Macaca mulatta: one gene and its partners. The protein of the gene in region 6 interacts with the protein of the main gene of each other region in a pairwise test. Links are inferred from orthologs where the notes say so. Each region holds a gene or a part of one and is shown on either strand. Other genes may lie near its edges.

Evidence for each region.
Region 1: the proteins of TRIM27 (region 6) and ABCF3 interact in binary tests that used the Homo sapiens proteins (3 or more experiments, as listed by UniProt). The two-hybrid records come from large-scale screens. The link is inferred for Macaca mulatta from reciprocal best matches to the Homo sapiens genes TRIM27 and ABCF3.
Region 2: the proteins of TRIM27 (region 6) and STK25 interact in binary tests that used the Homo sapiens proteins (3 or more experiments, as listed by UniProt). The two-hybrid records come from large-scale screens. The link is inferred for Macaca mulatta from reciprocal best matches to the Homo sapiens genes TRIM27 and STK25.
Region 3: the proteins of TRIM27 (region 6) and BMP7 interact in binary tests that used the Homo sapiens proteins (3 or more experiments, as listed by UniProt). The two-hybrid records come from large-scale screens. The link is inferred for Macaca mulatta from reciprocal best matches to the Homo sapiens genes TRIM27 and BMP7.
Region 4: the proteins of TRIM27 (region 6) and POLR1C interact in binary tests that used the Homo sapiens proteins (3 or more experiments, as listed by UniProt). The two-hybrid records come from large-scale screens. The link is inferred for Macaca mulatta from reciprocal best matches to the Homo sapiens genes TRIM27 and POLR1C.
Region 5: the proteins of TRIM27 (region 6) and OAS1 interact in binary tests that used the Homo sapiens proteins (3 or more experiments, as listed by UniProt). The two-hybrid records come from large-scale screens. The link is inferred for Macaca mulatta from reciprocal best matches to the Homo sapiens genes TRIM27 and OAS1.
Region 7: the proteins of TRIM27 (region 6) and ARMC7 interact in binary tests that used the Homo sapiens proteins (3 or more experiments, as listed by UniProt). The two-hybrid records come from large-scale screens. The link is inferred for Macaca mulatta from reciprocal best matches to the Homo sapiens genes TRIM27 and ARMC7.

The regions. Positions count from the first base shown.
Region 1 is NC_133407.1:96,327,589-96,330,516, reverse strand, and holds the end of ABCF3 (ATP-binding cassette sub-family F member 3), read right to left. Parts: intron 2,188-2,928; coding exon 2,099-2,187; intron 1,992-2,098; coding exon 1,900-1,991; intron 1,722-1,899; coding exon 1,589-1,721; intron 1,458-1,588; coding exon 1,370-1,457; intron 1,282-1,369; coding exon 1,123-1,281; 3' UTR 817-1,122; downstream 1-816.
Region 2 is NC_133417.1:146,790,763-146,793,846, reverse strand, and holds part of STK25 (serine/threonine-protein kinase 25), read left to right. Parts: intron 1-102; coding exon 103-211; intron 212-966; coding exon 967-1,124; intron 1,125-1,192; coding exon 1,193-1,396; intron 1,397-1,601; coding exon 1,602-1,747; intron 1,748-2,036; coding exon 2,037-2,151; intron 2,152-2,559; coding exon 2,560-2,631; intron 2,632-3,084. UniProt on the Homo sapiens protein: Oxidant stress-activated serine/threonine kinase that may play a role in the response to environmental stress.
Region 3 is NC_133415.1:110,055,042-110,059,623, forward strand, and holds the start of BMP7 (bone morphogenetic protein 7), read right to left. Parts: upstream 2,945-4,582; 5' UTR 2,831-2,944; coding exon 2,413-2,830; intron 1-2,412. UniProt on the Homo sapiens protein: Growth factor of the TGF-beta superfamily that plays important role in various biological processes, including embryogenesis, hematopoiesis, neurogenesis and skeletal morphogenesis.
Region 4 is NC_133409.1:138,600,570-138,605,141, forward strand, and holds the start of POLR1C (DNA-directed RNA polymerases I and III subunit RPAC1), read right to left. Parts: upstream 2,979-4,572; 5' UTR 2,958-2,978; coding exon 2,889-2,957; intron 2,762-2,888; coding exon 2,690-2,761; intron 731-2,689; coding exon 623-730; intron 365-622; coding exon 232-364; intron 1-231. Other genes in the region: protein YIPF3, read left to right, coding at 3,263-3,343, 3,978-4,184, 4,372-4,478. UniProt on the Homo sapiens protein: DNA-dependent RNA polymerase catalyzes the transcription of DNA into RNA using the four ribonucleoside triphosphates as substrates.
Region 5 is NC_133416.1:120,168,796-120,172,612, forward strand, and holds part of OAS1 (2'-5'-oligoadenylate synthase 1), read left to right. Parts: intron 1-3,197; coding exon 3,198-3,427; intron 3,428-3,817.
Region 6 is NC_133409.1:154,415,231-154,419,797, reverse strand, and holds the start of TRIM27 (zinc finger protein RFP), read right to left. Parts: upstream 3,111-4,567; 5' UTR 3,022-3,110; coding exon 2,602-3,021; intron 1,369-2,601; coding exon 1,273-1,368; intron 1-1,272. UniProt on the Homo sapiens protein: E3 ubiquitin-protein ligase that mediates ubiquitination of various substrates and thereby plays a role in diffent processes including proliferation, innate immunity, apoptosis, immune response or autophagy.
Region 7 is NC_133421.1:84,791,120-84,795,580, forward strand, and holds the start of ARMC7 (armadillo repeat-containing protein 7), read left to right. Parts: upstream 1-1,512; 5' UTR 1,513-1,585; coding exon 1,586-1,676; intron 1,677-1,759; coding exon 1,760-1,903; coding exon of another isoform or gene 1,904-1,935; exon of another isoform or gene 1,936-2,307; intron 2,308-2,608; exon of another isoform or gene 2,609-2,642; intron 2,643-4,461. UniProt on the Homo sapiens protein: As a component of the minor spliceosome, involved in the splicing of U12-type introns in pre-mRNAs.

The DNA of each region.
Region 1 (2,928 bases), on a different chromosome or scaffold from region 6:
TTTCTTTTGAGAGAAGTGGTCTCGCTAAGTTTCCCAGGCTGGCCTCAAACTCCTGGGTTCAAGCAATCCTCCCACCTCAGCCTCCACAATAGCTGGGACTACAGGTGCGCACCACTGTGCTCAGCTCAAATGTCTCCATTTTAACGTCCTCTGCATAACAATTACATACAACGGCTAACTCCTCAAGAAATAATATTTATAAATGATACTATCTCTGTTCAACATCTCTCCCCTCTTAAAGATTGCTTAATTTGAAAACAAAGCGTTCTATGTCTTCCTGTTAGACCCTGTCCTAAATTCCCTATTTCCCAGGCCCCTCCTACATGGTTAGAGGAAATATAAAGAACATGCAATCACCTAAGCAAAGTGAGGACAAAGACAGTTTCTCTTCAGCGCTGAGTCTAGAGAGCAGAGAAGCAGGGCAAGCCGGAGCCAGATACCACTGGAGAAAGGAGCCAGCCACGTGTGAGGCCAGGTTACAGAATCAGTTCAACTGCCCATCAGTGGGGGCTGTGGTGGCAGAACCCAAGACCCCTTCAGCTGAGGCTGAGCCCAGGCTAGGGCTAACAGCACCGCAGTGATGCCAATACACTGCCCTTCATTCCACTGGCTCAGCCCACCCCAAGGTCAGGCAGGCAGATGACCTCAATGCCCCAGCAGCTTGACAATGTTTCTTCTAGAGGCAAGGCTGGTGCTGCCATTGCTTCCTCCACGTGAGTGATACAAGTGCCATAGGAAAAGGCCAATCTGAGAGTCCATAGCCCTCAATAGGAGGCAACCACTGCCCAGGGAGCAGCAGACATGAGGCAAAGGAGATGCAGGGAGACATTTAATTTACATAGCAGCCACTTGGGGTCCAGTCAGAGCTGGGGCAGTGGGGAAACCTATAACCCCAGAGGGTACCCCCAGACCCCCGGCCCCCGGGAAACCAGTCCTCACCAACCCTTGGATGGGCTCCCAAGGTTGTGCAGAAGATGCTCCAGTCAAAAGGAGAGAGACATTTGGGAATAAGGCTGTCCCCAAGTTGGGGGAAGTCCACGGCCTGGAGTTGGTGGCCTATGTGGTGGCCCAGGGGTCTGAGAGACCAGTCCATGTCCTGGGCGAGTCCTCAGCCTGGTAGCCCTAAAGGAAGCCTTCGCGGCGGAACTGTTCCTGGAGGAGGGCGCGGTACTGGTCAAATCCTCCTTCCACGCGGGTGACGCCGCCTCCTTCGCACACCCATAACTCCCGGCACACCAGCCTGATAAAGCGTTCATTGTGGGACACCAGAATCACACCACCCTGAAAGACACGAGAGCAGGAGGTGCTGAGGGGGACACGAGAGGCACCGAGGCCTGGGGAGGAGTGGGCAGGGTGAAGGCACACTCACCCTGAAATTGTTGAGGGCACGGCCCAGAGCCTCGATGGTCTCCATGTCCAGGTGGTTTGTGGGTTCATCCAGAATGTAGAAGTTGGGGCTGGAAGGCAGAACCCAGGAAGGTAGGCAGTGAAGGGGTGTGGTGAGAGAAAATAAAGCCTTCTGATACAGTTTTCTACTGGGCAAGAAGGGGAAATGGGAGGGGAAGAGCTCTAGAAAATGAGGCCTCACCAGGGCATAGTCATCTGAGCAAAGGCCACTCGGCTCTTCTGGCCCCCAGACAAGCTGGCAACAGGACGCATAGCCAGCTCTCCGGAGATGCCATACCGACCCAGCTGGTGACGGTACTCCTCCTCAGGCCGCCCTGGAAAAGGACTCCCCAGATCAGGTGGTTTCTTGGCCCAACTCCCTCCCTGTACCCTCCAGCCACACCTCCAAGTCCCCATCTAGGCTTGGGAGGGCTGCTCTGCACTCACTCCAAGGCAGGTCTAGCTGCCGGGGTCAGCCTCATCCCTCTTTCCCCACTCAAATCCCCAACTCACCAGGAAACTTGCGTGCCAGCAGTTCCACAGCACTGATGTTCAGGTCCAGCTGCTCCACGTGGTGCTGGCTGAAATAGCCAATCTTCAGATTCCTGAAGACAGAAACCGAGGTGGAAAAGCAGACAAAGGCAACAGCCATGAAGGAGTGCAGGAAGCATGGGTGCCTGCAAGTGTGCTCATGGGCGGGGGTGCCTCTGACCTGTGAGCGTGTCTGATGCCCCGAACAGGTGCCAGGTCCCCCATAAGCAGCTTCAGCATGGTAGACTTCCCGGCCCCATTCTCTCCAACCTTAAGAAATGTGAAAACGTCATACAGTGTGTGCCAGAAAAATAAATACTGTAAGTTCTCACTCATATGTGGGCACTAGAAAATGTTTAGCACATAGAAGTAGAGAGTAGAGTTCTGGTTACTAGAGGCTGGGAAGGGTAAGCGGGGAGGAGGGGAATTGAGAGAGGAGATCGGGAGAGGTTGGTTAACCAAAACAGAATTGTAGCTAGATAGGAGGAATGGAGGAATAAGTTCGAGGGTTCTACAGCACTGCAGGGACGCTACACTTCACAATGACTGATTGTACATTTTTAAAAAGCTAGAAGATTTTGAATGTTCCCAACATAAAGTGATAAATGTTTACGGTGAATATGCTAATTACCCTGATTCGAACATTACACATTGTATACATGTATGGAAATATCACTCTGTACCCCATAAACATGTATAATTACGTATCAATAAAAAGAGCACCGCTGTGTGTAACACAGAAGGGAAGGAAATTAGAAGGGGTCTCAGGCAGTCCCCAGTCCCAATGACTCCATCAACAACCAAAAAAATATTTTTAAGGACTCTAGCCGGGCGCAGTGGCTCACGCCTGTAATCCCAGCACTTTGGGAGGCCGAGGCAAGCAGACCATTTGAGGTCAGGAGTTTGAGACCAGCCTGGCCAACATGGTGAAACGCTGTCTCTGCTAAAAATACAAAAAATAAGTTGGGCATGGTGGCAGATGCCTATAATCTCAGCTACTCATGAGGCTGA
Region 2 (3,084 bases), on a different chromosome or scaffold from region 6:
GCTATCTGCAGGGACAGCCCTCCCCTGTCAGAGAGACAGGAGAACTCAGGCATTGGGCCTGGGACAGGAGCTGAGGCCCTGCTGTCCCACCTTCCTCTCCAGCTTAAACCAGGTCCCCTGGAGGAGACGTACATTGCCACGATCCTGCGGGAAATTCTGAAGGGCCTGGATTATCTGCACTCCGAACGCAAGATCCACCGAGACATCAAAGGTCCTGCTGGGGGTGAATGTGGCTCTTGTAATGTCCTGAGCCCCACTGACCTTAGAGAGGCTGGGGCCTGTGAGGGGCAAGTGGCTAGTGGTGCCCAGCGTCTGGGGTATAGAGAACCCTGTGGCCACCCTGAAACTGAGCAGTTGTCTTGCTCCATTTCCAGAAGATACTGTTTGTAACAGTTTCCTTGTACGCTGAGTAAACCAGCTGTGGACTGAGTGTAGGAACAGCCACGCTTAGCCAGAGTTGTTGGTTCCCGGTGGCTCACAGCACAACAGCAGGTGTAGGCTTGAGTAGCCCCAGCGTGTGGTCTGGCCCTGCTAAGTGCAGACATGAGGTTGGGCCAGCCTGTGGGGAGGGACTTGCCACCGGCACCGAGTCATCTCTCTCATGTAGGGGACAAGTCTGGTGGAGCAAGGGGCTTCCTGGCAGGCCCATGGTGGCCACACCCTTGATCAGGGTCACCTCTGTGGTAGCCCCCAGTGGGCGAAGTCACCTGTCGTTGGGATTTGTTGTAAAAGCCAAATGCAGGGAGAGCCCTGGAGCTCGGAGTGGAGACCTTAGGCTCCTTCTGGCAGTGCCCCTGTGGCCCTAGGTGGCCCTGGGTTTGAGAGTGGCAAGGAGGGCTGAAGTCCTGAGGACAGCCCTGCTGTGCCCTAGGAGGCCAGGTGGATGATACCCTGGCCCTTCTCAGGGGGCCCTGGGTGGAGCCACGTGGAGCCTGGCATGACGTCTGCCTGTCCTGTGTCAAGCAGCTGCCAACGTGCTACTCTCGGAGCAGGGGGATGTGAAGCTGGCGGACTTTGGGGTAGCAGGGCAGCTCACAGACACACAGATTAAGAGGAACACGTTCGTGGGCACCCCCTTCTGGATGGCGCCTGAAGTCATCAAGCAGTCGGCCTATGACTTCAAGGTGGGTGCAGTGGGTGGGCGGGCGGGTGCGGGCACCACGCCTGACTGGGGTGCTCAGGGCAGCGACAGTCCTTGTGTTCTGTCCAGGCCGACATCTGGTCCCTGGGGATCACGGCCATCGAGCTGGCCAAGGGGGAGCCTCCAAACTCTGACCTCCACCCCATGCGCGTCCTGTTCCTGATTCCCAAGAACAGCCCTCCCACACTGGAGGGCCAGCACAGCAAGCCGTTCAAGGAGTTCGTGGAGGCCTGCCTCAACAAGGACCCCCGATTCGTAAGGCCCGCCTCTGGCCTGGCCCCTTCTGGATGGGCATATGGAGGGAGGGCATTTGCTTGGGGTGGGCAGCACAGCCCGGAGGCCTAGGCCCCCCAGCCTTGTAGCCGTGAGGACCTGCCCCAGTCCAGGCTGCCTCACATTTGCTTTCCTGAGGCAGAGCTTGGCTGGGCCCAGTGACCGATGTTCCCCTGACCCCGCACAGCGGCCCACAGCCAAGGAGCTCCTGAAGCACAAGTTCATCACACGCTACACCAAGAAGACCTCCTTCCTCACGGAGCTCATCGACCGCTATAAGCGCTGGAAGTCCGAGGGGCATGGCGAGGAGTCCAGCTCCGAGGACTCTGACATGTAGGGGCCTGGTTTATCCTCATGGTGACCCTCGGTGTTGTGACGTGGGTGGTCCCCACTCCAGAAGCAGGGGCGTGGGCTCTAGGGGTGAGAGTGACCAGATATAGTATTGGGCAGGGACCCCCTTAAGGCTACAGGACAGGGCCTGCTGAGGCATCAGTTGGACTCCGTGGCCTGGCAGAGCGCCGCCCAGTACCTCGGGTTTCCCTTGGCCGTGAGGTGTGCCCTGAGGCCCTTGTGCCTCCTGGCTCTCCCCCCACTGACCCTGGCAACTCTTCATCCTCTTCAGTGATGGCGAGGCGGAGGACGGGGAGCAGGGCCCCATCTGGACGTTCCCCCCCACCATCCGGCCGAGTCCACACAGCAAGCTTCACAAGGGGACGGCCCTGCACAGCTCACAGAAGGTCTGTTCCCGGCCTGGCCTCTGCCTGCTGTGCACCCCTGGGGCTGGGTGCGGGACCCAGCTTTGTCCACCCAGTGTCTGGGGCTTGGACAAGGAGCTTGGGAAAGGCAGGGGTGGTCTGAAGCCCACTGTGGCACTGGGCCTGGTGTGGAGACCCCAAGCCCCAGCATGTGCTGGGAAGATGAGGGCCTGTTAGGAGCCAAATTTGTGAGGAGAGGGTGGGTGGGAGTTGTAAGCCCTGAGTCAGGCCATCTGGGTGGCTTGATGGTTTTGGGGCCAGCCCTGGGCATGTGCCATGACAGGCTGCTCCCAGTCTCCATCCCTTCAAGGCTAGAGCCTGAAGGGATGGGAGTGCCCTGCCTGTCGCCTGCACTGCCCTGCTCACCCTGGGCCTCCACTTCCTTTGCAGCCCGCAGAGCCTGTCAAGAGGCAGCCAAGGTCCCAGTGCCTGTCCACGCTGGTCCGGCCTGTCTTCGGAGAGGTGAGAAGGGGGCTGGGGCTGGGGCTGGGGCTGGAGCCCCGCCAGGGACGAGGCTGGGACGCTGCTCCGCGGGGATGTCCCCTCACAGTGCCGTGGGGCAGTCTCAGCTTCTAGGTTTCCTGCAGCTGATTATGGGCTGGGTTTCCTGAGTAGAAGGAGCAGAATCTGCTGTGATGACCTTTTGTACTCCCAGACCTGCCAAGGTCCTCTGGGTTCCCAGAGCGACTTTTGTTTTCTTCAAGTGCAAACACAGATGACCCTTCTATAGAGAAAGCAGAGAAGATGTAGTCGGGGTCCATCCAGGGCAGGTGCCTCCCTGGTTAGTCACATGACCTTGCATCAGCGTCACCTGCTAATGGGCAGTCGGCACCATTCTCAGAGATGTGATGCAGCCAGGAGCTCTGTGCCCAGGGCGTGGCCAGTGGGCTTGGGCCCAGGTGTGCTCTCCAGGAG
Region 3 (4,582 bases), on a different chromosome or scaffold from region 6:
ACTGATTAAGAGGCTCAGACAAGCCGGTCTTTGTCCTTTCAAGATGAAAGAAATGGATTGAAAGGTGTGTGTACAGCCAGAGGAGGAAAACCACCCAGCTGTGGCCTTCCCAAACAAGTCCCAGCTTGCTCCTGCCGCCATGGGGGAAGCAAATAGCCAGCACCAAGGTTCCCAGAGGCACCCTCCGAGCAAGCTGGTCTTTCTCTGGGGGACAGGGAGCCCCTGGGGCCTAGCCCACACCGCCGGCCCATAAGCAGTGGCAGCTTTTTTGCTCTTGGTTTGCAGGGCCTTCTACAGAAGCCGGAGATTACAAATACCTTTTTAATGACCCCAGCCAGGCTCTGAAGGCAGCCGCTGGGATCTGCACATTCAGTGGGAGTCCAGGGTACCCAACAGAATGGAAGATGCCATAAATCCCCCACCAGAGAAAGGGCCTTGGCTAACCCCAGGCTTCAGGAGGGCGACAGAGCTCTGCGTTCATTATTTGTGTGTATGTATTTGGAATTTTCCTTTAGTTTTTGGTATAGTTAATAAATACGCATTGTTTTTTTAAAAAAATCACCAATACAGAAGTGCAGACAATGAAACATTAGACCCCAGCTCCCACTCCCTAAGCCCCAGCTGTGCCCCCACCTCTCTAGCCCTCCAGTAAAATCTCCAGTTCCTGGTGTCTTCCTCCAGGAGGACACGATGATACACAAAAGCATACATGCAGGCCGCTCACCTGCACCTTGCTTCTTTCCACCTCATGCATCTGGGAGATGGTTCTAAATCAGGTCATATGTTGCTGCTTCCCTCTTAACTGGCTGCTTAGTATAATTTAAACTTTCTTGAAGGTATTTTGGCATCTAAACCTCCCACCCCTTGCTCGCTGAAGCTTGGCTCACTAGCTGGATTTGGTTATTAAGTACAGACAATGGCCTCCCCGGGAACTCCAGGGACCTTATCAGGAGGGGGAAGCATGAAGGCGGATCTGCGCTTCCCCGCGCCCCCAGTCCACGCCCCAGGTGCCCAGCGTGGGGCTTCAGTATCATTATTTCCATGTTGACACAGCGCCCGTGGGCGTGAGTTTGCTGTCTTGACTTGGTTCGGGTTTTCGCAGCAAGTTACACAAGTAGAATGAAAGCGCTCAGGAAACAGCGCTATCCGGGCGTGTTATCTCGGAAACCAAATATTTGATCATCAGTCCCGCAGAGCGCTGCCGGGGGTTAGTTTGAGCAAGTCTGGAGAATGAGTGCGCGCAGACGGAGGGGGAGCTCCCCGGCCCTCGCCGCAGCCCCAGGCTCGCGTCCCCGGGGTCGTCGCGGCTCCAATCGTAAACCGGGACCCCCAGTCGCCCCCGCGGCGTCAGCTCGGAGATCCCGCGCAACCCAATCGCCAAAACCTGTGGTTTGCGCGCCACACGTGATAAATGCTGAAAATGGATTCTGCCGGCCTGAGACCTACCACTAAATATTTAAAATAGAAAACTAGAGGCAGGGCACTGTGGCTCACGCCTGTATTCCCAGCACTTTGGGAGGTTGAGGCAGGAGGATCACCTGAGATCGGGAGTTCGAGACCAGCCTGACCAACATGGAGAAACACAGTCTCTACTAAAAATACAAAATTAGCCAGGCGTGGTGGTGCATGCCTGTAATCCCAGCTACTCGGGAGGCTGAGGCACGAGAATCGCTTGAACCCGGGAGGCAGAGGTTGCGGTGAGCAGGGATTGCGCCATTGTACTGCAGCCTGGACAAGAAGAGCGAAACTCCGTCTCAAAAAAAAAAAAAAAGAAAAAAGAAAAAAAGAAAATAAAAGAAAGAAAAAAAAGAAAAAATAAAAGAACGCAAACTAGCAAGCTCCCCAACTCCAGCCAAGAGAGAATGGGGCATCCGGCGGCCCGGAGAGGGGCCCCAAGGCGTTCGGAGCGCGCGGTAGGCTAAGGCGGGCGCACCACTAGGGGACAGGTAGGGCTTGTCAGGGCGGGTAAGGGAGTGCGACGGCCGAGATGCCAGGGCCAGGCAGGGCTGAGAGGGGCCCAGGAAGGGCGGGAAGGCAGCCTCGCCGGGAAGGGCCCTTTACATCCAGGTAGCGCGAGCCGCGCCAGCCCAGGACAGCTCACATGACCAAGCCCCGCGCTTTGAACGGCCGGCGCCTCCAGTCCCAGAGATGCGGCCGGCGGCGTAACATGGAGGGGACTTCCGAAGATCCCTCCTTCCCAGTAACCCCCACAGGCCCACCGAGCCCAGCGCGCCAGACCTGGAGGCGCACACAGCTTGGGAGCCATAGGGCTGTGGGTGGGAGACCCTCGGGCAGGCACTGCGATTTCAACCAGGAGCAGAAAGCTGGGCGGGCTGTATAGAAGAAGCGGCTCCCTCCCTCCCGGTTTCAAAGTGCCCCCGAACAGACACGCGTACCCCCGCCTGCCCTTACCGAGGTTGACGAAGCTCATGACCATGTCGGCGTCGGTGAGGAAATGGCTATCTTGCAAGCTGGCCAGAGGGGGGCCCTGGGTGCTGAAGACGGCCTTGTAGGGGTAGGAGAAGCCCTGGCCGCCGGGCCCGCCGCCCTCCTCCACCGCCATGGCGTTGTACAGGTCCAGCATGAACATGGGCGCCGAGTTGTGCTTGCCCTGGAGGTGCGGGCGCGGGCGGTGGGGCAAGCCCAAAATGGAGAGGATCTCGCGCTGCATCTCCCGCCGCTCCTGGCTGCGGAGGCGCCGATGGATGAAGCTCGAGTGCACCTCGTTGTCCAGGCTGAAGTCGGCCAGGGCGGAGCGCAGCAGGAACAGGGGTGCCCAGAGCGCCACGAAGCTGTGCGGCGCCGCAGCGCGCAGCGAGCGCACGTGCATCGCGCCGGCTCTACGCGCGACCCGGGCTCCGGGCTTCGGGCTCCGGGCCCGCACCGCCCCAGGTGGCAGAAGGGGCAGGCGGCCGTTCGCGCCGCTCGGTCACTTGCTGCAGACGGGCCCCGCTGCGCCCGCGCCAGACATGGCCCCTCCCCGGCCTGCCGCGCTCTGCCCGGACCCCCGCCCCCTGCTGGGTGCTGGCCCCGGGCCCCTCGCCCCGCACTCGCCCGGGCGCACCGCCGGGCTTGGAAAGCAGCCCCGGCGAACGAAGAGGCGAGTGAGGAGGCGGGCGCGGGTGGGAGGAGCAGCCAGCAAGCCTAGGAGTCCAGAGAGCCAGTGCCGGGGAGGCAGCGAGGAGGCAGGCGGGCGGGCTAGCGCTCCTTCTTCCCGCTCCTCTGGCGCTCTCGCCCTCAGGCGGCGGCGACCCACCCTCTTCCAACCTCTGGCGTGGAGAGCAGGGGCCCCGGGGCGCTCTCCCAGCCCTGCGCGCCCTGGATCGCACAAGAGGCCGCCTCTGGAGCGCCAGAGTGGTACACGCTGGGGCCTGGGCGGAGGAGGAGGAGGAGGACGGGCTTCAAGGGGCCCCTCCCGCGCCGGCGGCCTCCCACCTGCCCTCGGCCCCGCCCTCCCCCTAGCTGTGCCCAATGGGTTCATTCATTCCCTCTAGAGCGCTCGACAAATGTTTACCGAGTGCCCACGGGGTGCCTAGAGCCTGGCGGGACGTCGCGGGGATGCGGCTGGAGGAATCCAAGCCGGCCCTGCCCTCTTGGCACTCGTGGTCCGGACCAGGAAGGCGGCTCGAACGGGACCGGTGGGCTGCGGGCCGCGGTGGGAAAAGTTGGGGGAGCGCGGAGGTGGCGCGGAAATAGAAGGCTTCCTGGAAGCGGTGACCCTTGAGGCGGTCTTGCCCCTTAGTCCCCGTCTCCTTTTAAGCTAGCCACGCTGACCCCTCCGCGCCTCTCTGAACCGGTTGCCAGCTTGTCTCTGCGCTCGCCATTCCCTCCGCCTGGACGGCTCCCGGCTCACCACCTCCCGCCCCCCATCAGACCCTGCTTTCTCCCAGAGACCTCCAAGACCTGCCAAGCTGAGGTTGTTTCCTCGCCTCACCCCCACGTACATTTGTTTTCTTTCCTGTAATTTCTCTTGCTGTCTGGAATTGTTTGAGTTACTCCGTGCCGTCTTTATTGCCTTCTTATCCCCGCTAGACGCCCAGCGCACTGAGGCCAGGACCAGCGATCTTCTCCGCAGCTCTGGTGCCCGCAGTGCCTTGAACCTAGCGCCTGGTAGCCACTGTGGCTGCGCAATCACGATTTGTTGAGTGAATAAGTGAACTTCGTTTGAGCTGGGGGGTTCTTCCCACTTTCTCCTCTAAGGGGCCCTGTATCTTTCCAGCCACCCCTCAGCCTGAGACCAGACACCCCAGCCCCACCACTAGGGGTTCCCATCAGCCCTCCCCGCCTGGGGAGCCAGCCGCTGGTCTTCGCATCCTCTTCCCCTCCAAGGGTCTGTGCCTGAGACCTCCCCATCAGCCTCCTCTCCTGCCTCTCCTCATCTATTCATCCCTCAATCAATACTGAGACATGCACGCTGTCACAGGGAGTCCCCAGACCACTCAGAACCTACTGGTCCCTCTGCCAGTGTGGGATCTCAAGGGAATTACTGCACCCAGAGTGGCAGTGAGGGCAGCAGGGTAAAAGTTCATCCTGTCTCCTTCCCCTGCTGGGGCTGGGTGAGAGAGGATCCCCAGAGGGGCTC
Region 4 (4,572 bases), about 16 Mb from region 6:
AAAAAAAAAAAAGAAAAAAAAAAAAAGAACTAGTAAACATCTGAGTGCCAGCACTATGCTGAATGCTTTACATATGTGTCCCATTTAATTACGGCAAACTTGGGAAGCCAAGGCAAGTGTTCTCACAGATGAAAAACACTGATGTACAAACATAAGTAACTTACCCAACATCACAGTCAACCAGGATTTGAACCCAGACAGTCCACTTCTCCCAAAATTTCATTTTCTTACCTTGATTCCGATACTCAAAAAGACGGGGATCAGCATGAATGGGAATGAGCCCCAGACGGTGAGCAAGGATCTCATCCTGAACAATGGATGTATTATTGTACACCAGGACCTTCTCCACAGCCATAGTTGGCACCTGCCCAAGGAAAAATAACCACTTATCTGCAAAAACCCAACAGACCCCCTACCTATCCCCACAACCCCACCCTCCAGAGGTAAGGAGCTATCTCTCTTCCTAGAATGTTTAATGAGAAATTTACAAAGAATGAGAAGGTAAAATGCTCAGCAAAATTCCAGGAAAAATGAGGGAAGGACAGCTTGAGACAATTCTCCAAGTGAGGTGTCAGTGCAGTTCCCAAAGCAACTCCAGCCTTGTCACCATGCCTGCCAATACCTCAGCTAACAGAATTCGTCGAAAAGCATTGGCAATGGCTGCGTCAATTCCCACCATGTCGAACTCCAGTGAGTTTTCATCCATGTGTACTACATCCACACGGAAATTCTAGAGGGACAGGAAAAACATTTAAGTGAAACCTGCTCTCTCTGTAATATCTCTTCATACCTCCCCCTTAGATAATTCCCTCAAGTATTATCCTCTCATCCAAAAACCTCCCTTTGCCCAGATGTCCCTTATTAAATATTCTTTCTCGCCCAGTGCTTTAGTTTCATAAAAAGTCTCCATTTTTGTCGTCCATTCATTAAAACCCTATGCAATATGGCTTCCAACCAAACCATCCACAGAAGCTATTCCACTAAAGAACAGAAACTACCATAGTGCTTAGTCCTGTTGACACTACCCAGTCCTCTTACTAGACTTCTGTTATGCTTGACATTGATTAAAAAACCTCCTCTGGGCCCAGCACGGTGACTCACACCTGTAATCCCAGCACTATGGGAGGCCGAGGGGCGGATCACAAGGTCAGGAGTTTGAGACCAGCCTGGCCAGCATGGTGAAACCCCGTCTCTACTAAAAATTCAAAAAATTAGCTGGGCATGGTGGCGCGTAGCTGTAGTCCCAGCTACTCGGGAGGCTGAGGCAGGAGAACTGCCTGAACCCAGGAGGCGGAGGTTGCAGTGAGCCAAGATTGCACCACTGCACTCCAGCCTGGGAGATAAGAGTGTCTCATGAAAAGGAAAAAAAAAAAAAAAATCCCCTTTTTTGAACGATTCCCCTGGTTTCTGAGCTCCACTCTTCTTCCATCTCTGATGATCAACTTCCACCCATCTCTAAATTTGCCAGGTTCTTGTCTCTCTCCCAGGTCACCTTAACTGTACTAACAGTTTTAGCAACTATCTGTTCTGACAACTCCCAAAATTTTATCTCACTTCTGATCTCATTTCAAGCATGCAGTCTTCTAGCCTGCTAGATTTCCCCACATACAGAAAACAATGCATCATCATCCCTGTTCCCCAGACCCATTTCTCCTCTTAGTAAATGATACCACAAAGCAAAAAGCAGTTCCCAAGCCAGAAAAAGTCATTTTATGCTACCCCCACAGCCTTTATCCAAGCAATCATAAATTTACCTTATATTCTTCCTTTGCTCTATTTCTACCATCAGTCTTAGTTCATATCTTCAACCTCAGCTTCCCTTACAACAGATCTGCCTGCTCCATATGATCCTCCTCAAACTCATTCCCTCCCAGCCATCAAGGTTGCAAATCTGATCATGTCTGCTTAAGAAACTATTCAAGCTCCCTATCATCCACAGTGTGACACACTTCAATCTTGCCGACCACTCATGCCAGAACTACTTGGACATTCCCGGAGCACATGTCACAGAAGTCATAATTTTTTTTCAAGCATTAGCCTTTTTCATTGTTCATACTTTATTCCTTGTATCAACAGGTTAAAAAAGTAAAATTTTCCCAGGCACTGATTTACACATCATGTTTATAAGCTGCATAAAGGGTAACATTTAGGTCAGTTGCATAAAGAGTAACATTCAGTAATCTATTTAAATGCAATTTTAACCCTTATTTTAAGCTAAGTGAAACAATAATACAAAAGACTAAATACACACAAAACCTGCATATCCTGAACTTCACTGACGTGAAACTCAAATCTTTCATAATTCAACTCCTGTTTTTTTTTTTACTTACCATTCAAGGTTCAATTCAGGTGTCCCCTCCTCTTGAAATGTTAAGTACCTCTCGGCCCCTCTTCCTGGTCTCAGCGGAATGCTCCCCACCCCAACCCTGCCGTCTTCATCGCTATCAACCACCTTCACCATATTACACTAGATGCACTTGTTTATACGCACCATTCCTCAACAAGACGGAATATCTCTGCAGAGATAGAAACCGTGTCTAATTTGGCCTGTAAACGGAGCGTCTAGCACATTGCTCAACAAACACAAACGGAGCGACCCCCAAAAGCAGCTGCTGAGACAGACACAGGCTGCTCAGGCCACAGGGTCTGGCCTTCATAACCCTCCCCAGACAACTTCGGCCCCACTTACCTTCTCGAAGCGGTCCTGGTCCCAGGCATCATCATAACCGGAATAGTTTCCGGGAAAGTCAGTGGTATGGACCTAGAGCAAAGGGACGAGTTTGTCCACAAAGGGACAATGAGCCCACGGCTATCCCCACGCCAATCCCAAGACCCACCCCTGTTCCGCTCTCATTCCTCCCGCCCGAGCTCAAGGCCACAAGGCTTACATTGCGAACCCCAAACTCCCCTAGAACCACGCGGCCCCGCATCTCCTCCACCGCCTGAGAAGCCGCCATCTTCAATCTCTCCACGAGACTGGAGGCTCTATCTGGCGCGTGCGTCCTAGTAGACTGGCTCCGTCTCCGTGGCAACGCGCCACCGCCTGGAATCTTAAATATCGCGAGACTTTTCCCCGCTTCCGTCCACGTCCCCAGCCTCCGGAAGTTGGTTTTGTCCAAACATCCGGGCTTCTCTTTTTTGTGTTCCGGCCGATCCCACCTCTCCTCGACCCGGGACGTCTCCCTCACTAAGGCCCACGTCTCGCCCACTCCTCCGCGCGCGGGGCTAGCGCGGGCTTCAGCGACGGGAGCCTTCAAGGGACATGGCAACTACAGCGGCGCCGGCGGGCGGCGCCCGAAATGGAGCTGGCCCGGAATGGGGAGGGTTCGAAGAAAACATCCAGGTAATGGCCCCAAGGCACTAGCTGCCAGCAACCCGAGGGCCAGCGATGTCCAGAAGTGTCTTGAGGATTCTTCCTGTGGGCCTGGAAGTCCGCTCCATTTGCAAAACTCTCTTCTTTGGGTCTTCGTGCACACTAAAGTCAGTAGGATTAACATTGACCTGAAAGGGCCAGACTAGTACTCCAGCCTGAGGGTCTCGGGTCTCTGGGCCCGCTCGAGGCATTAGGAAGAAGGTATTCTTGGAACAAGTTAGGAAGTTGGTCGGGGTCAGGCATGGAGTGGGGTTGGGTGGGATTCACTGGCATTCGCTGAAAACATATTATGTGTATAGTTTTGTTTGGGGCTTAGGAAAGAAGGAAATGGGCACTTTTTCAGCCTTTTAGTCTTTGGTAGGTAAGGTAGGAAAAAGACAGGAATGGAAGACTAGTAGTATGTTTCCCAGGCTAGAAAATTCAGCCAAAGCTAGAAACCAAGAGTTCTGAGAGCATATGAGGGGGAATGGAGTGGCATGATCTGTAGTGATTCCGAGCCGTATCCTCAGCAGTGGAAGAACAAAGCCCTAAACCCTGGGATGAGCAGAGGACTTAATGGATGGAACAGAAAAGTCCTGCACTCTAGGAGCCATTGTCTTCACAGGGCGGAGGCTCAGCTGTGATTGACATGGAGAACATGGATGATACCTCAGGCTCTAGCTTCGAGGATATGGGTGAGCTGCATCAGCGCCTGCGCGAGGAAGAAGTAGACGCTGATGCAGCTGATGCAGCTGCTGCTGAAGAAGAGGATGGAGAGTTCCTGGGCATGAAAGGCTTTAAGGGACAGCTGAGCCGGCAGGTGGCAGATCAGGTAAGCATGATTGAATCTTCTGCAGGTGGAAAGGTATACCTAGGTATGTCCCATGTTCTGGAGTTGGTGTTGGTGATGTTTGCCCCAGGTTGTCCAGTTAGAACCATGTAGAAATCAAGCGGAAAATAGGCAACAGGGTCTAGAACCAACAGTCCCACAATACCTATGCCCATCTTCCTTACTTCAGATGTGGCAGGCCGGGAAGAGACAAGCCTCCAGGGCCTTCAGCTTGTACGCCAACATCGACATCCTCAGACCGTACTTTGATGTGGAGCCTGCTCAGGTGCGGAGCAGGTGAGGAGCCTTCTCTTGAAGAAGCTTCCCTCCTAACACCTAGTCCTTTATGCACACTACAATCAGATTTCAAGCCCTGGGCTCTGGTGGGCTC
Region 5 (3,817 bases), on a different chromosome or scaffold from region 6:
CTGGGTGGTCATTTCAGTGCATTAAATATATCATTCCATCTTCCACTGTCATCATTAAAAAGTCAGTTGCCAGTCTTTACTGCAGCTCTTTTGTAGGTAACCTATCTTATTCCTCTGGCTGCATGTAAAAGTTTTCTCTTTGTCTTTGATTTTGTTTAGCTTCAGTCTGCTGTGTCTTAATGATGGGTTCCTATTATTTGTCCTGATAGGGATTCCTTTAAGAGTCCTGAATCTGTGGATAGATATCTTTAATCAGTTTTGAAACTTCTGAGCCATCCTTCTAAAAGATTGATTCTCCCTCATTCTGTCCTCACCTTCCGGAATTCCAATTAAATGTATGTTAGATCCTACTCTATCTTTCATATCTCTATACTCTCTTCTGTATTTTTCATCTTTTTGTCGATTTTTCCATGCTTTATTCTGAATAGTTTCTTCTAATCTACCTTCTAATTAACTAATTTTCTCTTTAGCTATATCTAATTTGCTGTTGCACTATTAATTACAGTTGCCATTTTTATCCTAAAATTTCTATTTCATATTTTTGTATCTACCATGTTACTTCTTATGGCTTTTAATTCCCTGCTAACTATTGAAAGTTCTTATTTTATCCTGTGAATATGATATTCCTACTTATTTTATTTTTAATTTTTATTATTTATCTTATGTTTTATTTGCACTTCTTTTCTGTGACATGAGCACACACAGATTCATGTGTATACATATATGGCTCTGATACCTGATACCTCTCCTTTCCTGTCCTCATTCAAACCGCTGATCACAGAGAGACAACTATGTTTTTTTAATTTTTCTATTTCAATAGGTTTTTGGGGGAACAGGTGGTGTTTGGTTACATGAATAAGTTCTTTAGTGGTGATTTCCGAGATTTTGGTACACCCATCACCCAAACAGTGTACATTGTACCCAATGTGTAATCTTTTAACCCTTGCCACCCCCCACCTTTTCCCCAAAGTTCCCCAAGTCCCATGTATCATTCTTATGCCTTTGCTTCCTCATAGCTTAGCTCCCACATATGTGAGAACATACAATGTTTGGTTTTCCATTCCTGAGTTACTTACTTAAAATAGTAGTATCCAATTCCATCCAAGTTGCTGTGAATGCCATTATTTTGTTCCTTTTTATGGTTGAGTAGTATTCCATGGTGTGTGCATGAGTATGTGTGTGTTTAACATTTTCTTTATCCACTCATTGATTGATGGGTATTTGGGTTGGATCCATATTTTTGCAATTGCAAATTGGGGTGTTATAAACATGTGTGTGCAAGTATCTTTTTTGTATAATGACTTCTTTTCCTCTGAGTGGATACCTACTAGTGGGTTTGCTGGATCAAATGGTAGATCTACTTTTAGTTCTATAAGGAATCTCCACACTGTTTTCCATAGTGGTTGTATGAGTTTACATTCCCACCAATAGTGTAAAAGTGTTCCCTTTTCCCCACATCCAGACCAACATCTATTTTTTTTTTATTTTTTATTATGACAACTCTTGCAGGAGCGAGGTGGTATCACATTGTGGTTTTGGTTTGCATTTCCCTGATAATTAGGGATGTTGAGCATTTTTCCATATGCTTGTTGGTATTTGTATATCTTCATTTGAGAATTCTCTGTTCATGTCCTTAGCCCACTTTTTGATGGAGTTGTTTGTTTTTTCCTTACTGATTCGTCTGAGTTCTTTGTAGATTCTGGATATCAGTTGGATGTATAGATTGTGAAGATTTTCTCCCATTCTGTGGGCTGTCTGTTAACTCTGCTAATTATTTCTTTTGTTTTGCAGAAGCTTTTTAGTTTAATTAAGTCCCATCTATTTATCTTTGTTTTTGTTGCATTTGCTTTTGGGTTCTTTGTCATGAAGTCTTTGCCTAAGCCAATGTGTAGAAGGGTTTTTTGGATGTTATCTTCTAGAATCTTTATGGTTTCAGGTCTTAGATTTAAGTATTTGATTCATTTTGAGTTGATTTTTATATAAGGGCAGAGGTGAGGATTCAGTTTCATTCTTTTACATGCAACTTGCCAATTATCCCAGGATCATTTGTTGAATAGGGCGTCCTTTCCCCACTTTATGTTTTTGTTTGGTTTGTCGAAGATCAGTAGCTGTAAGTGTTTAGCTTTATTTCTGGGTTCTCTGTTCTGTTCCATTGGTCTATGTGACTATTTTTATACCAGTACCATGTTGTTTTGGTGACTATGGCCTTATAGTATAGTTTGAAGTCTAGTAATGTAATGCCTCCAGATTTGTTCTTTTTACTTAGCCTTGTTTTGGCTATGTGGGCTCTTTTTTGGTTCCATATGAATTTTAGGATTGTTTTTTCTAGTTCTGTGAAGAATGATGATGGTATTTTGATGGGAATTGCACTGAATTTATAGATTGTTTTTGGCAGTATGGTCATTTTCACGATATTGATTCTACCCATTCATGAGCATGGGATGTGTTTCCATCTGTTTGTGTCATCTATAAATTCTTTCAGCAATGTTTTGTAGTTTTCCTTGTAGGGTTCCTAGTTATTTTAAAGTCTGTTTCAGTCTTTCAATATTTAAAGTTTTGTAAGTTTATTACTATTTCTCTTTTTTTCTGTTGGTCATAACTCTTAGTGTTTTGTTTCCTTTTGTGCCTGGTTGCATATGTGCTGGTCATTGTATTCGAAAATTATGTGTGAAATAATTTCAGGTTTTGGATTATGTATACTCCTCCAGAAAGAACTTCATTTGCTTCTGTGCATTTCTTAGCAACATTACAAGTCCTTCTTCTCAGTTAATTTTCATAGTATCCTTATAAGATAGGTGCTATTATGACCACTCACTTAGCAGATGAAAATAATGAGGTCTGTGAGTCTAAGTCATCAACTTAGAATCGGACAATGGTGAAGCCAGGATTCAAACTCACATCAATAAGAATCCAGCACTCTTGACAAAGGGCCAGCACACTTTTAAAAAAAAAAAAACAAAGGGCTAGATAGTAAATATTTTAGACTTTGTGGACTGCACAGCCTCTGTTGCAGCTACTTAACCCTGCCTTTGTAGCATGAATGCAGTCATAAACTATACATAAATGAATGAGCCTGGATTTGTTCCAAGGAAACTTTATAAAAACCGGTGGCAGGCTGGATTTGACCCATGAGAAATGGAGTTTACACAAAAGTTGAGCAAACCAATTTTTTTTCTGATTGTTTTTCCTCTTCTTAGTGTAAGAAGCAGCTTGGGAAGCTACCACCTCAGTATGCCCTGGAGCTCCTGACAGTCTATGCTTGGGAGCAAGGGAGCATGGAAACAGATTTCAACACAGCCCGGGGATTTCGGACGGTATTGGAATTAGTCATAAACTACCAGCAACTCTGCGTCTACTGGACAAAGTATTATGACTTTCAAAACCCCATTATTGGAGAGTACCTGAGCAGGCAGCTCAAGAAACCCAGGTATGCTATCCTCACATGGCTTAGCTCCCCTATGTAAATGAACACCTGGACACAGGTACAATGCCTTGGAAATGGAGAAGGTGGGAGGGCTCCCCACTTAGTGAGAATCTCCTCTTGCCTGTCATTCATACTGGGCATTTTACTACTGCCACCTGATTTAAACACCTACCTCAAACCCTGTGAGGCAGGCACTATCATTTTATAGGTGAGTAAACTGAGGTTCTGAGAGCTAAGGAGCTTGTCCAACCCTTAACAGAAAATGAGTAAAATAGCTGGAATTTGAACTGAAATAAGAACAGCAGCAACAACAATGATAGTAATTGCTCCCAGGCATTGAAAGCTTGCTGTAAGACTAACACATGCTAATATAATAGTAAAAATTATTATCAA
Region 6 (4,567 bases):
TTACTTTTCAGACAGAAATACCTCTAGTGGGTGGAGACTGGTAATGTTTTATTTATTGTTCAAAAAACATTTTCAAACACCTAAGTGGTGGATATACAAATGTGTATTATAAATGTCTCTGTACTGTCTTTTTTTTTTTTTTTTTTCTTGAGACGGAGTTTTGCCCTTGTTGCCCAGGCTGGAGTGCAATGGCACGATCTTGGGTCACCGCAATCTCCACCTCCCGGGTTCAAGTGATTCTCCTGCCTCAGCCTCCCGAGTAGCTGAGATTACAGGTGTGCACCACCATGCCTGGCTAATTTTTTGTATTTTTAGTACAGACGGGGTTTCACCATGGCCAGGCTGGTCTTCAACTCCTGACCTCAGGTGATCCGCCCACCTCAGCCTCCCAGAGTGCTGGGATTACAGGTGTGAGCCGCCACCCCCCCCCATGCCCTGCCTTGTTTTTTTTTTTCTTTTCAAAACAAAATTCCCAGTTAGGTGCAGTGGCTCACACCTGTAATCCCAGCACTTTGGAAGGCCAAGGCAGGTGGATCACTTGAGGTCAGGAATTCGAGACCTGCCTGGTCAATATGGTGAAACCCCATCTCTACTAAAAATACAAAAATCAGCTGGGTGTGTTGGCACATGCCTGTAGCCTCAGCTACCTGGGAGGCTGAGGTGGGAGAATCACTTGAAATGTGAGGCAGAGGTTGCAGTGAGTCGAAACCTTGCCATTGCACTCCAGCCTGGGTGACAGAGTGAGACCCTGTCGGAAATAAAAAGAAAAAATTCCCATATACCCCTATCATAAATTAATACATCAGCCACTTGTCGAGGCCTTGAGAGATTGGAGGAAGAGAGCAGAGCAAAAAATTCAGAATTAAGGCATTGTCAAGAAAGGAGAATAACACAAAGAGAAGCAACAGTGGGACTTACACAAATCCACTATTAGCACTTGTCTGAAGAATGGTAACAACGCAAGCTAACTGTATCCAATAATTTTACCCATCTCAGCTTTGCCAAGGATCAACCTTGGTCTACGCAGTTAGCAGGTTAAACTATACTGACAGGTCTGATTTCCAAGGGTTCCAAACTTGGCTCCTCCACGCTTTCCCCAAAAGAAAGGGAATCTCTTAGTTCTCTGGGTGAGTTCCCACTGCCATGTGCAGTTGATCCCCCTCTACCTACAGGTTCTGGGTGACATGCTGGACAAGTCTAAGGGAAGTAACATCAGCTCTACAGAAGAGGGGAGCACCAGCAGAAGCGACTGTGAATTCCAACAACCCTTACCAAGAGTTCAGCTCGTGCCTGTTCCCCTTGGGCCCGACGTCTCTTCTTTAAATCTTTCACTCTTTTTAAATGGTCAAGCTGGTTCTGGATTTGCTCCTGAGAAAAGCAAAACAGATGGGCAGTTCAAAACTAGGTAGACCTTAGCATCAGCATGGTACTTCTAATCACACATGGAGTCCACACACCTGATGCCAAGTATCCAGTTGGCACTTGTTCTCAGGCCACACTGCCACCCACAAGAGAAAGACTCAGGGCGCAGGGGCCAACAAGCCACTCATTTGGCAATTTGTGTCTATCTTAGCAGCCTGTCGCTTCAACCACTCAGCTACCTCGTCAGGATTATTTGTGTCTATCTTAAACAATGAATCATCTACCTGTCCCTGGTAGGATATCGCATGACTTAGCGGAACTGTGACTGGAGTAGGAGGCTTAGAGTTATGTTGTATTGTAGCTCTTCCACACAAGCATACTGTGAAAGTGACTTCTTATTTCCCTCATGTGTGAAATGGGCAAACACCATCTTCCCAACCTACTCAAGAGTTCTCACCAGAGTAAGTGAAAGAATATAGCTGAAAGGTCCATAAATGTTAAGTGATTAATTACACATGAATGTATTCATATTTAAACACGGACATAATTGTGTATGAATTCCTGAAGCCCTCAACATACAGAAAATACACAGTATCATGGACTCCTTGAAGGTCACCTTACAACTGTTTTATATGTAATATTTTGTTTCCACGTTTCTGTTTAGCTGTGCCAGTTCACAGAGGGCTCTGTGCATCACATGATTCCATAATCTTCCTCATAACTGTTATCTCCTGAGTCTCAGAGTGGTTAAATGACTTAAGCAGTGAAGAGCCTGTTCTTTTCTGTGAGTTTCTAGACCAGGACGTATTGCAGGAAAGTGCTGGGGAAATGCTTATAGACCAAGGAATGGGCATCGGTCAGTTAATGTCCGACTGCGTTTTGTCTGACAGCCGACGAGAGTACATGTGTCTCTACAGCTCGTCGATGTGCAAGCGATTTTATGCACTTCTTTTATACTGTCAAAAGCATGTCTCCGTGTACAATGTGTCCGTGAGACAGGAAACATGGGGGCACACAGAGAAAGGAGAGTGGGGGTGGGGAGACTTCTGGCTCCCTCGCCAGCTACAGGTTTTCCTCCAAATCTGAGTGCTGAGGCTCTGGGGCGGACAGAGAGGAAATGACGGCTGTGAACCACACGTCCGGCTCAGCCATTTTCTAGGCGGAAAAAGGGAAGCCCCTTTGGCTCTCTCCTCCCTTTGTCCGACTCGCGTTCCCGCCCTCCCGGATCCGCGCCCTCACCTTGAAGCCCTCCACTGCCTCCTCGAGCGGCAGCACGCTGTGGCCGCGGTGCTCGCGGGAGCGGTCGCACACCACGCAGATGGGCATCTGGTCCTCCTCGCAGTAGAGCTTCAGGGGCTCGCGGTGTTTCTCGCACACGCCCATCTCGCCGCCGGGCCCCGACGGCCGCTCGGTGCGCAGCTGCTTCACCAGCTGGGTCACGTTGGCCAGGTGCCGGTTGGGCCGCATGTGCCTCTGCGGGAAGGTCTCCCGGCACTGCGGGCACGACACGTTAGTCTCTGCCGTGCCCCAGCAGCGGGCGAGGCACGCGCAACAGATGTTATGGCCGCAGTCGAGCATCATGGGCTCTGCGAAGTACTGCAGGCACACGGGGCAGGTGGTCTCCTGCTGCAGGCACTCGGCCACGCTCCCGGAGGCCATGGCGCGGGCCTGCGGGGGCTCACGGGCATGGGCCCCGGCGCCGAGCTCTGCACGGAGCCCAACTCTCCGGCGCTCTCTCCCGTTCGCTGTTCCTGGGAGGCACCGGGCGGACGGAGGGCGGTGCCTCCCGGGCCCGTATCCCAGACGCGCCCGCGCACCGAAGGCTCAGAGTGGCCGGGCCGATCCCTGCGCCTGTGCCCCCTGAGCGAGTGCGGGAATACAGCCGGCTCACAGAGACTCGCGGCCACGCTACTGGGGCAGGAACGGGTAGCCAAGGGTCAGGATCCCAGGGCCAGGCGCGCAAAGCGCGCAAGACAACGTGGCCGCGTCCGAGCGGATCCCGGCGGCCGCGTAGACCCCACCCCGGCGCGAGCGGAAGAGGCGGCTCGGGGGGCGGGGCTTGGCCCGCGCTTCTAGTGTGTGACAAGATTTCGTGGCCTCGGGGCCCGGGCTGCTTTCTCTAGAAAGGCCTGGGAGGCTCCGCCACTCTCCCTTGGGCGGGTCGCGCCGAAGCTCTAGCCTAGGGGACTGGTCACAAAAGCAGATGGTGCCACACGCTCCGGGCCTACAAGCTTCCGCGACTGCCGGGCCCAGGCCCCTAGTGTTTAGTTGGGTTTCTTCTTGGTGCCCAGGTCTCAGCCCCTGCTAAAGATGGCTTTGGCCGCGCGCAGTGGCTCACGCCTGTAATCCCAGCATTTGGGAGGCCGAGGCGGGTGGATCACGAGGTCAGGAGATCGAGACTATCCTGGCCAACATGGTAAAACCGCATCTCTACTAAATATAGAAAAATTAGCCGGGCGTGGTGGCAGGCGCCTGTAGTCCCAGCTACTTAGGAGGCTGAGGCAGCAGAATCGCTTGAACCCTGGAGGCGGAGGTTGCAGTGACCCGAGATCGCCACTGCACTCCAGCCTGGGCGACAGAGCGAGACTCCGTCTTGAAAAAAAAAGAAAAGAAGAAAGAAAGCTGGCTTTATATAGGTGCTGGGGAGCGCAGACATCTGGCTTCCCCAAGAGGCTGGAGGATGAGGAGGGTCACCGTCTGAGCCCACCTGATAGGTGAGGCCTTTTATTAAACAGACCCATTTGTAGGCACTTGCAGTTTTGTTTAGAAAAAGAAAGGTTTAATTATCAGATGGTAACATTTCTGTGTGGCAATAACAAGCCCAGCTCTGCTACCTCTCACTTGTGCCCAAGCAAGTTGGTTTACCATTCATTTACCTCAGTTTCTCCTCGTGTGAAATGGGGATGATAACTGTACCGCCGTAAAGAAGTAGATTTCGTTACATCTTTTACTTTTTGAACCATAAGGTTGTTTATCCATTAAAATAGTAACAAAATGCCCATTACATAGGGTTGTTGTATTGAGGAGCAACTAAAAATTGCTTGCTCCTTTCTGAAGTATAGAGAGACTAAGAATCCTACAGTGACCCAGGGTCTTGGAGTCCCACAATACTCGTTGTCTTATCATGCAGTAGACCTCCAGCATTTTTAAGTTGCTTTCTTATCCCTTGCTTGATGTCTCCTGCTTTTCTTTGAGATTTTCTCAA
Region 7 (4,461 bases), on a different chromosome or scaffold from region 6:
TAAGGGAAAAAATAGGATTACATAATTGTTTTGAGATAATTATCCTTAGGTAGAAGAATTAGTAACAAGGGTGACCAGTTCAACGTTGGACAGGAAAGTTGCTGGGCAGATGGCCATTCAAAAGTATGTTTTGTGCAAGGTTGGGGTTTTTGCAGAATCTTTGTGATAGTTTTCATTATCAGATATTTATGCATGAGAACCCTCTTGTCATGGTTTTCTCCGACTCTGTCCGGGTTTTTTTGTTCTGTTTTTTTAACACAAGTGACTCCAATTAGATTAACAACTTTTGCATTCTCAGGACACTCACAGCCTAAGCCACCTCTCTACCCCTACGTTGTCAAACGCGATGGGAGTGTAGTAAGGCCACCTCCTTCCCTGGTGCTTTGTTCCCTGTAACCACGAGTAGTAATCCATCACACACCTGCTTCCCGAGAATCCTCGAGAAGGAATCGGCCGAAGGGCTTCAGCATCCAGAAAGCCCCGAAAGCGCCACAAACAAGGCTCTTCCTCCGGCTCCCCGGTGCTGCCCCGGGCGCGCGCCATCCACCCGGCTGACAAAAAGCACCAGGACATGACCCCGTCCCCTTTGATTTCTGTCCAGAGGTGGCGGACTCACCTCGGGGCTGGGATAGAGGACGGGTCGGGGTCGCTACGCTTTTTGCAAAAGGGTCAAAAGACTGATGGGGGTGGGTAAGGAGCTGACGCCCGCGCTCTAAAGGGGCGCCCCGCCAGCCATGGGGATCCTGGAGGTGCTTCTGCCTCGACGTCCTCCCAACATGGGTGCTGCCAGACTCCGTTGCGCTCCTGAGTTGCTCCTCACGTCATTCCAGCCGCCCGACATGGGTGCCTCACTTTCGGCTTCTGGGCCACGTCGGGGCGGCGGAGGACCCGGGGGGCCGGGCGGGAGAGTGGGAAAGGTGGGGCGGGAAAGCCGAGAGAGGCCCTCACCCGCCTTCCTGTTGGCGGGGGCGGCAAGTGGGTTTCTTTCTTGCGTTCAGATTTTGCAATAATTTGCAGCTGGACATAGGATATGGGAGACAAGGCTGCTCCTCGCAGTACACCCACCCACGCCCATACCTCCCTCGGCGAAGCGTGTCGCAGCGGGTTCCAGCGCAGGCTAAAGAGCTTCCGCAGCCAGAAAACCGAAAGCGCGCCGCGCACGCGCGCCAAGGAGTTCGGCGACGGCCCCGCCCTTCGCCTGCCTCGTCCCGCCCCTTCCGCGCCTTGTAGGGTGGGGACAGCGCGGCTTCCGCCGGGAGCCTGGAACCGAGCCCGGCAGCCGGGGGCTGGGCGCCAGTACCCACTCCGCCAGCCCCAGCCCGCAGACGGTTCCCTGTCTCCCGCGCCCCAATTTCGATTTTCAGACCCAACTCCTACAGGATTCTGAGACCCCGGCCCATCTCCCCACATTCCATTTCCAGCTGCAAATTACTGCAGAGTCTGAACCCAAGAAAGAAACCCGTTTGCCGTCCCCGCGTCTTCCCTCGCCAGACAGGTGGAGAGTGGGTGAGGGTCTCGCTCGGCTTTCCCCCTGCACCTTTCCCACCCGCCCGCCCGTCCCTGGGGGTCCTCCGTCACGCCGGCCATGGCCCAGAAGCCGAAGTTGGACCCCCACGTCGGGCGTTTGGGATACCTGCAGGCGCTGGTCACGGAATTCCAGGAGACCCAGAGCCAAGGTGAGAGCCACGGTGGGACCAGGTGACAGGGTCGGCTGTGACCGCCGCCCGGACCTGGCTCCAGTGCCGCTTTCCCGTTGCAGACGCCAAGGAGCAAGTCCTCGCCAACCTCGCCAACTTCGCTTATGACCCCAGCAACTACGAGTATCTGCGGCAGCTGCAGGTCCTGGATTTATTTCTCGATTCGCTGTCGGAGGAGAACGAGACCCTGGTGGAGTTTGCTATTGGTAAGGGCTGGGCCCGTTCGCTAGATGGCTAAATGGGCCGGGGTGAGGTAAGTGAGTTACAAGTGAGTCCTTGGGGCCTGGCGTGGTGGCTCACACATGTAATCCCAGCACTTTGGGAAGCCGAGGCGGGGGGATCACCTGAGGTCAGGAGTTCGAGACCAGCCTGGCCAACATGGCAAAACCTCGTCTCTACTAAAAGTACAAAAATTAGCTGGGCATGGTGGCGAGTGCCTGTAATCCCAGCTAAGCGGGAGCAAAAATTAGCCGCACACAGTGGTGTGCACCTGTAGGCCCAGCTACTCTGGAGGCCGAAGCAGGAGGATTGCTTGAGTCCGGGAGGCAGAGGCCAAAGTGAGCTGAGACTGCGCCACTGCACTCCAGCCTGGGCGACGGAGTGAGACCATGTCTCAAAAAAAGATGTTTTAAAAAGAGCAGTTTTGTAGCCAGGCGCGGTGGCACACGCCTGTAATCCCAGCACTTTGGGAGCCCGAGGCAGGCGGATCACCTGAGATCAGGAGTTCGAGACCAGTCTGGCCAACATGATGAAACCCCGTCTCTAACTAAAAATACAAAAATTAGCCGGGCGTGGCGGGCGCCTGTAATCCCAGCTACTCGGGAGGCTGAGGCAGGAGAATCACTTGAACCCGGTAGGCAGAGGTTGCTGTGAGCCGAGATGGCGCCACTGCACCCCAGCCTGGGCAACAGCGAGACTCCGTCTCAAAAAAAAAAACAACAACAATTTCAGGTGGGTGAGGTGGCTCACACCTGTAATGTCAGCACTTTGGGCGGCCGAAGCAGGCAGATCACTTGAGTCCCGGAGTTCAAGACCGGCCTGGCAAAAGCCCATCTCTGCTAAAAAAAAAAAAAAAAAAAAAAAAATTAGTCTGGCGTGGTGTCCCAGCTACTCAGGAGGCTGAGGTGGGAGGATTGCTTGAGCCTGGAGGACGAGGCTGCAGTGAGCTGGGATTGGGCCACTGTACTCCAGCCTGGGTGACAGAACGAGAATCTGTCTTAGAAACAAAAGTAACTCATATTTAGTGTTTTCATATCAGGAGAAGCAGAGATGGCTTGCAGTCTGTAACTTACGGCTTCTTTTGTAGTTATGATCTTAAGACCTATTGATTTATTCACTGGGCAGATATTTACTGGGCATGTACCGTATATGTAAACTACTGCTCTAAATGCTGGAGTATGGTGAACAAGTTAGGGGAAGTGTTTGCCCCTCAGGAGCTTACATTCTAGTAGGGGGGACAGGTGGTTAGCAAACAAAAAAGATGATGCTCAGCAGCAAATAAATGGGGTGATGAGAAACAGCAGTAGAAGGTGGTGGTTACTTCTGTTTTGGCCATCATGAGAAAGGCATTTTAGCAGGGACACAGCATGGGCAAAGGCCTTAAAACAGGAAGGAGCCAGAAGGAAGATGAATGTGGCAGGATCGTTATAGTGAAGTGGAGAATGGCACAAAAAGAGGATAGAGAGTTAAGCAGCACCAGAGCTTGCCGGAGCTTAGATCTAGGCCGTGGGAAATAGTTTGAAGCAGACAAAATTTTGAGAACAAACAAAAATCCCTTTTTCAAGCCATGCACAGTGCTCATCTGTAGCCCCAGATAGGAGGATCGCTTGAGCCCAGGAGTTTGAGGCTGTAGTGTGCTACGATTGCATGATTGCACCTGTAAATAGCCACCGCACTCCAGCCTGGGCAACACGCGCGTGATCACCTGGCTGAAGTCTTGTCAGGCTTCTCCACTGTAAAATTACTCTTTCTTTCCCCTCTTTACGTATTATGTATTATACCCATTGGAAGGAAGTCACTACATAAATTATCTTAAATCTTTTTCTTTTTTTTGAGATAGGGTCTCACTGTGTCACTTAGGCTGGAGTACAGTGGTGTGATCATAGTTCACCATAAATTTAAACTTCTGGGCTCTAGCAGTCTTCCTGCCTTAGCCTCCCGAGTAGCTGTGACTACAGGTGGACACCACCATGCCCGGCTTTTTTTTGTTTTTAATTTGTTTTCGAGAGGATCTCACTGTGTTGCCCAGACTGGTCTCGAACTCGGCTTTTTTTTTTTTTTTTTTTAATTTGTTGTCGACACACGGTCTCACCGTCTTGCCCAGACTGGTCTTGAACTCCTGGCCCCAAGAGATAAATCGCTTGTAACCCTAAACAGACCCTCATTTCATAACACTGATTCTTGAAGGCCCCAACCAGGAATGCAAATGTTCCCCCTTCCGGTTTGTCTCATTGCCTCTTTGTGGTTTGTTTCTTTATCCCCTTTATTTCCTATAATCTAGAAATTGGGTTGAAAGTCTTGATAGGATCAAGTAACACATTTTATTTTATTTTATTTTATTTATTTATTTATTTATTTATTTTTTGAGACGGAGTTCGCTCTGTCGCCCAGGCTGGAGTGCAGTGGCGCGATCTCGGCTCACTGCAAGCTCCGCCTCCCGGGTTCACGCCATTCTCCTGCCTCAGCCTCCCGAGTAGCTGGGACTACAGGCGCCCACAACCGCGCCTGGCTAATTTTTTGTATTTTTAGTAGAGACGGGGTTTCA